2 linked regions of the Nothobranchius furzeri genome follow. The protein of the gene in region 1 interacts with the protein of each later gene in a pairwise test. Links are inferred from orthologs where the notes say so. Each region holds a gene or a part of one and is shown on either strand. Other genes may lie near its edges.

What was found. The genes of interacting proteins can lie anywhere in the genome.
Region 2: the proteins of plaa (region 1) and ubxn1 interact in binary tests that used the Homo sapiens proteins (3 or more experiments, as listed by UniProt). The two-hybrid records come from large-scale screens. The link is inferred for Nothobranchius furzeri from reciprocal best matches to the Homo sapiens genes PLAA and UBXN1.

What each region holds. Positions count from the first base shown.
Region 1 is NC_091742.1:72,989,735-72,993,247, reverse strand, and holds part of plaa (phospholipase A-2-activating protein), read right to left. Parts: intron 3,464-3,513; coding exon 3,312-3,463; intron 3,234-3,311; coding exon 3,014-3,233; intron 1-3,013. UniProt on the Homo sapiens protein: Plays a role in protein ubiquitination, sorting and degradation through its association with VCP. Involved in ubiquitin-mediated membrane proteins trafficking to late endosomes in an ESCRT-dependent manner, and hence plays a role in synaptic vesicle recycling.
Region 2 is NC_091741.1:88,740,682-88,744,896, forward strand, and holds the start of ubxn1 (UBX domain-containing protein 1), read right to left. Parts: upstream 2,811-4,215; 5' UTR 2,702-2,810; coding exon 2,699-2,701; intron 2,523-2,698; coding exon 2,458-2,522; intron 2,355-2,457; coding exon 2,301-2,354; intron 1,950-2,300; coding exon 1,834-1,949; intron 1,641-1,833; coding exon 1,544-1,640; intron 1,444-1,543; coding exon 1,252-1,443; intron 1,081-1,251; coding exon 1,029-1,080; intron 943-1,028; coding exon 820-942; intron 721-819; coding exon 537-720; intron 474-536; coding exon 433-473; 3' UTR 1-432.

The sequences.
Region 1 (3,513 bases):
CTAGCCAAAGGAACTCAATGAACAGAGGGGTGACGAATGCTCTTTTTGGCTGATTGAAGACCAGACACGCTGCTGCATTCTGGACCATTTGAAGAGGTCTCACAGTACAGACTGGAAGATCAGTTAGAAGGGCATTGCAGTAGTCGAGGCGGGAGATGACAGTAGATTGCACCAGGGCCTGGGTAGCATACTGTGTAAGGTACGATCTGATCTTTCGTATGTTATACAGCCAAGGGCGTCAAGTTTGTTTTCAGGATTGCTGGGGACAATAACCATACACTTGAGTGGGGTTTAAAAATTGCTGGGGACAATAAAGTAGGCTAGCACAGGGGTCGGCGGCTCTGGAGCCGCATGCGGCTCTTCCATCCATCTGATGCGGCTCTCTGTGCTTGTAAAATAATGAATGGATATTTAAATGAAAAGCTTTATATTTTACTGGATTAATTTTACATCTGTATGCCAATTCTAAATATAAAGATTGTCTGCGTAAACCTGAACAGGTCCAACCCGGTCTTACTGTGAGACCAGGTTGACGCCTCACGCTTGTGCATAATCATAGGCGCTTCCTGAGCTTGAGGATGTCAGATTCTGGGATTCTCCTCAGACAGGTTCCTGGATGCGTCGCCACATTGGAGACAGGAACAAGCACTATTCAGCCAAAGTTTCATAATCAGGTGTGGCAGTGTGTGTCCTGTCACAATGTCCCGATAGATAATGCGCCCTGGCTACTTGGCCAAGGGGTTGTCCCTTTGGCTGACTGGTTAGAGCGTATGACTGTCACCCGGGAGTCTGGGGATCGAATCCCGCCCGGGCCCTCATTTCTCCACCTTGCCACATATTGACGGATAAACTCAAGGATGTTGGTTGTTTTGAAAGAATTACCCCAACGCACACTGATGCGCATGGATGAGCTGACATTTTAATCGTTGCGCACATCGCAGAGGTAACTTGATTCCCATCAGAACATCAGAGCTTTATACTGGACACTGTGTTCAGCGCGGCTCGGAGTGCCCACGGAGGACAGTGGGCTGAAATCTGAGGGGTTCGCAGCGCAGTACAGAACCACGCGCATGCGATAAGATTTCCTCCCACTGAAGCGGTCTGGAAACCCGGTCTCTCTGAGGGATGTGTCACTTGGAAAAATGTTCTTTTTATGAAATGATGAAACTTTGGCTGAACAGCGCTTGTTCCCGTCTCTAATATGGAGATGCATGACGCATCCAGTCTGAGGCAGAATAGCTCTTCAGCTCAGAAAGCTCCTGTAGAGACATTTGATCACGCACAAAGTTTATGTGGAGCAGAAGCGGTCGGGCCACGGCAGGTGAAATGTTCCTAGCCTACATGAAGTGTAACATTAATGTGTTACTGGACACGCTGGTCTGGTTGGTTAGACCAGTGTTTGAAGTGGAAAACACACACACACACACACACCAATTAAAATAATGCTGATAGCGTGGACTAGAAGATAGGTGATGGTTTACGTATTTAAATGATGATCAGGCTGCTGTAAAATGTAATCTCCATCCACATCCAGACACAATTATCCTCTATTCTTTCTCTATTTGCTCTGCTCTTGTCTGGGCTGACGTCGCTGATGGTGCGCGTGACGCGCCTAACTAGCGGCTGATGCACATTTTACGCATTTGGAGAGGTGGGCTGGAAGCTTTGATTTCACTGGAAGATGGTCCACTTAACGCACGGGTGTAGACTACATATTAATGTCAAATGAATGAAAATTAAACTGGGAGTTTTTACTTCATATTTTAGAAATAAAAATGACGGGGGAACACATTTGACGTCTTTTTAAACGAAATTTTCTAGCGCGTCCTGCCTGCTTCACATAAGTCACTGCTTATTAAGGTCCGTCCAGAATTACCGTGGCCCACCCAAAAATGAAAACCTGGCGCCGCGCCAGTTATAAACCTCTGCAAATTGTTGTTCTTAACTTTCTCAAACTCAGACTTTGTACAGCTAATGTCAAGATGTAAAATTATGAATTCAGTCGAGCTCTTCCGTCCCTCCATCTCCTGCTCTCCTGGAAACCCGACATCGGCTGTCAGAAGTGGAGGTGATTAAGGAGATGAGGCAAACAGAGTGAGTGCGACATAAAGAAACCAGACTGGAGTGGAGGTGAGCAAAACAGAAGGAAAAGTGTGGGTGTTGAATCCCCCACGGGTGCGACGCCCATGCGAGCGACGGTACTGGCTGCTGTCACCTGGTTGTGGGCAGCTCTCTGCTGTCTGAGGGTAGGCCCCGCCCACAACGCTGCGGCTGCTGCGGTGTTTTCTTTACTGTGGGAAACGGGTAATAATGGCTCTTTGATGGGAACAGGTTGCCGACCCCTGGTAAAAGATCTGAGCTGGTAAAACAAAAATCCTCATCAGCAGGCTTTTTTTAAAGTGGGGGGGGACACAGCTGCCAATCACAAATTTTTTAAAATGACGCCTATGTATACAGCGTGAAGCGGCATGAACAAGCGACAGAGGCAACGTGATCTTTAAAGGTCAGCTGGTCATCAATCACAACACCCAAGTTTCGAACAGCCTTTGAAGGGGCCAGAGATAGGGAATCATTTTTGATTGAGATATTGTGATGTATGGATGGTTTCGCTGGGATGACAAGTAATTCAGTTTTTGAGAAGTTGAGATGGAGATGGTGGGATTTCCTCCATCTTGATATGTCAGAAAGACAGTCTGAGATTTGTGCAGAAACTGTGCGGTCATCTGGCGGGAATGACAGATAGAGCTGGGTGTCGTCGGCATAGCAGTGGTAGGAGAAGCCATGTGATCGAATGATCTCACCCAGTGAGGTGGTGTACATGGCAAAGAGTAGAGGTCCCATTACAGAGCCCTGGGGCACTCCTGTGGCAAGACAGTGAACAGCAGAAGATTGTCCGAGCCAAGATATATTGAATGATCATCCTGTTGGGTACGATTCAAACCAGACAGGACGATCAAATTCTGTAATAAAAATAATAAACCTGTTTATCAGTCAACAGGACGAGTCCCCTCACCTGTGAAGGGGTCGCCGCCACCAGGCTGGGCTGGACCCACCACGTGTCCTTTAGTGTTCTCGATGATAAAATTAGCAACTTGGTCAAGAAACATGGGGCTCAGATCGTTCTTCTGTAGGAAGTTGTGCGCTGTCAGCCAGGGGTCGTCAGACACATTGTAAGGTAGCTTCAAAGACGGCCCCCCTTCGTTCACATCGATAGAGAAGACGTAATCGTATTCCTTAGAGCAGATGGAACACCCATTAGCGAAAGCCCTCTCACACTGCTCTGTTTATTAGCTCTGAGCTTGTCGCCTCACCTTTCCTTCGTACATCACGCTCTTGGAGGTCTGCTGGTTTGAGCCTCCGACTACATCTCCGATTTTCATCCAGCGATCGTCGCTGACGCTCCATTGATACGCCTCCACCTTCTGACCATCTTTGATCAGACGTGTCTGCCCGTCGCGATTCCCTGGATGAAAACAGGCAATAAAACCAACCACTTGCTGCTGTGGTCCCCGG
Region 2 (4,215 bases), on another chromosome or scaffold:
AATAGAGCTGAACGTCTTTTTAAAAAAATTGAAAAATAGAATGTCACAAAATTAGGAAGATCATGGCAATTAAACTTAAGGCCCTTTATAAGAACTTTGAGATGATGTCATTAAGAATCTGGTAAAAACAAACAACCTAGATCCGTACTTTACCCTAAACGTTTAGAATAAGTGTCAGCCAGAACCCAGCTTTCTTCTCTCTGATCTGTTAAGATCCAACTCGATATGTGAGTCAAACTGCAGCGGGAGACTGAATCCAGTCACTCGTGTCTGAATGCAGCCTCACAGCATCTGTGCTTTAGCTCACTTCGATGGCTCCTTGTGTAACACTATGGGATGGCAGCTCTGGTTCTGGTTCAGTTGGTTTCCGGTGTCTGGACATGACGTAGTGGAAGTGGTGAGGTAGGCTCACAGAGCAGATCCTCTCGTTTCTTACTTTTTGGTAACAACCAGCACGGCTGAAGGCACCAAACCTGAGACAAAAAAAGGGTAAGATGAACAGACTTGTTCTGGACTTAGACTAGTCTCCCACTCACCCAGCTCTTTGAGGGGCTTCTCCATGTCCATTTCAGTGTAGATGTGGCGGGGGTAGGGTGACAGCAGCGTGAAGTCCTGACCCTCGGGTGTGTTGCCGTTCATCTGTACGTAGACCCGCACCGCCGCCAGTGGCTCCTGAGCCTTAAACACGGCTGTGATTGTGGAGCCGTCCAGCAGGCGAACCTGAGAATGGATCAGAACATTTAGGAAGTGTGGAGGAAAAGTGGCCAGTGGATCAGAGAAACTCAAGAGAATAAATCAAGCTGTCAGTTTTTTCCTCACCTGTATCCTTGATTCATCATACTCCTTCTTAGTGGGAGGAGGGCCCTGACTGGTGGGCGATGATGGGCTGGGTGGGGTGGGCTGTGTTGAAGCAGCCGTGCTTGAAGATGCACCACCTCCAAACTAAACCATTGGAAATAAAAACGTGACCAGGATTAAAGCCATCAGTAAGAAATTAAAGACATGAACAGGATTTCAGGCTAAGGTACCTTCTGTGCACGCTCCTCTCTGTCTCTCGCTATTTTCTCTTTAACTCTTTGCCTGACAAACATAAAGATGAACAGGGTTCAAAACAGAAACCAATTTCCTCAAGTTTCAAGAAAAATATCAATATAGCTTTTGTAAAAAACAAACAAACAAAAAAAAAAACAATTACTTAAAAGCACCAAACTAAACTTTCTTCATCGATTATCTGCATTACTGAACCCTTACCTAGCAAGTTTGTCTTCCATCTTCTCTCTCCTCCTCTGATCAGCAAGTTTTTTCATGTCGTCATCCTGCAGTTTTTGGCGGATCTGCTGCAGCTCTTGGCCCTGTTTCCGTCGCTGTTTCTCTTTCTCCACCTCCTCTGCTCGCTCACGTTCTCTCCTCTCTGCCTGTTTCACCCGCATCAGCTCCTCTAGCCTGAGAAGCAGAAACATGGGCATAAACAATGACTTCATGCTGCTTTTTGTGGATAAATAGACAAACTCATTACCATCAGTAGAAATGAATGCGCCCAGACCTTTTGACTTGTTCGCGTCTCTCCTCTTCTGTCATTGGTCGCTTTAAAGCCTCTATGTCCTCAGGGTCGAGGAATTCTTCACTTAAGTTTTCTGTTCCTATATTAGCAGGACATTGTTTCAGTTGAGTAATGACACAATGTTCACTTTCAGTCTAGAAAGGCTCCAATTTCATCACATTAATAGTTTATTTGTAAACGTATTTCTACTAGCTACTTAAATGTTGTCTGGTGTGCTTTGTTCACAATATTATGGCATCATTCATTCCCCAAACATCCCAACATGCCCTGACCTTCGATAGTTGGCTGCTCTATGCTGGACTGACTATCTGTTGTTCCTCCCAGAACATTCTCAGCAGGAGGCACATAGGGCTCATCGATATCTGGGTCATTCTCATGCTCCATCAACCTGGAGGAAGGAGGTCATAGAGATTGGGTCAGGGTGGAAAATGGTTTGTTCTAATGCACAATTTCTTCCTTCGGTGTTTTGCATTCAACGCTTAGAAATGTAACATTATGAGAACATTTTTGCAAAACAGTTCCTACTAAGAGCCTTTATTTGGCTTCAGAGCTCCTCAAAAGATGCATCTACAGGTGAGGAATCTGTCAGAACTGAGTATCACCTCACCTTGGCTGAATCAAGGTGGTATAAATGGAGTACCTCTTACCAATAATCACTAAAGTAAAATACATAAATGTTGCCACAGACAGCAAACTGACTGGATTACAGCACAGCTTTTAGTTTGTATGTCAGACGCACCAGTCCATAGCTTGTTCTATTCCCTGGTTTCCTGTATTGGCCACAGCTTTTTCTCTGAAAATGTGAGAAAAAAGACACACAAAAAAACCCAGTTTAACTTTAATTTCTTTGTAGCTCTGATTCAAAAACCCAAATGTCTATGATGAGTGTAACTCACGCTCTGTTTTTGTCAAAGCCCATCTCCAGCAGGCTCTCTAGAGTATTTAGTTCGGCCATTATTAGCTGAAACAACAAAGGTAAGTTCACAAATACAATTCATCCTGACACAGTAGTTCCAATTTACAGCTAAAGGCTAAGTGTGGAACTCGACAACCAAACTAGTTATGTGCTCGTTTAATGTCTTCAGCCCTGGTTAACATTAAATATGACATATTTCACTAGCTTTCAGGATAATTCACCATGACAACAAACACTGGCGTTTTCCAGAGAAGAAGCCTGTTTGTTCCTACTCATCAGATGCCTTGATGATGCTAGAAGCTAAAATTAGCATCAATGCTGCTAACGAACTAGCCTAGGCTCCGATTAAAACGCTCTCACATGCTTTCCGTGCCTTAGACCACTGATCATGTCTGTATCTTACATGTAAGGACACAAAACATGAATTATCAATGCTTTAAAGACTATATTTGTCAATGTTAACACACATGAAGGCGGTGCTAGTCGAATAGATACTCACACATCAGTTTACGCCACTTCCACTGTACGGAAAGCCAAACATGTCAAAAATAGATATGAACAAAAAAGCGATTTTTTTTAAACTCTGAAAATGATTTATGAGCTACAATTTACTAAACACACACACACACACACACACACACACACATGTATATATAAAAATATATTATATTTATGTATATATATGTGTATATATGTATGTATATATATATATATATATATATATATATATATATATATATATATATATATGTGTGTGTGTGTGTGTGTGTGTATGTGTATATGTATGTATATATATATATATATATGTGTATATGTATATATATATATATATATATATATATATATATATATATATATATATATATATATATATATATATATATATATATATATACAAATAAAAGGAACGTAGACAACCAACAGAGGACAGCTGTTGTGGTTGATGTGGCAATACCAAGTGATGGCAACATCAGGCAAAAGGAACACGAGAAACTAGAGAAGTACCAGGGCCTCAAAGAAGAGCTTGATAAAGCCTGGTGAGTGAAGATATGGTGCCCGTGGTCATCGGGGCACTCGAGAAGTAACCCCCAAACTGGAGGAGTGGCTAAAGCAGATCCCAGGAAAAATATCAGACATCTCAGTCCAGAAAAGTGCAGTTCTAGGAACAACTAAGATATATCTCTCTCTGGTATCGAGGACTCGAGCTTGGAAAGATGGCACCACCCATGGGTCAGATGGGAATTGTTTTTATTTTATGCATATATATGACTTCAATGCAGTTGTGTCTTCACTGTGCTTGTATGATTTTAATGTCACTATCATGTGTTTATGGTGTTCAAACAGAAAATAATTTGCTGACTTTTATGTGCAGCTTCTGTTACATATTTACAGTTAGTGTAATGATTAATTTTTCTCTCCCCCACACCGTCTTAAGCAGTCCTCCATCATGAATCTGCCATTACTCAGACTCAGATCTCTCTCAGTAAGCCTCTGACTGTCCCCTAACTTTTCTTGAGCTTTTTCTTGTTTGCCTATTTTATGATCTTTATTGCTTTTCATGTTTAATCTCTATAGATTTTTTATTTTTCATTTTGAAGCATGAATTTTTAAAATTTACTGGTGAGTATAATCTTTATTCACACATTGTAAAAATATCAGCAATAAAACTTTTTTGTATAATTTCACTTAAACTGTTAACTATCTGATTACCATTTTAGTTTAGATTAATACAGAATTT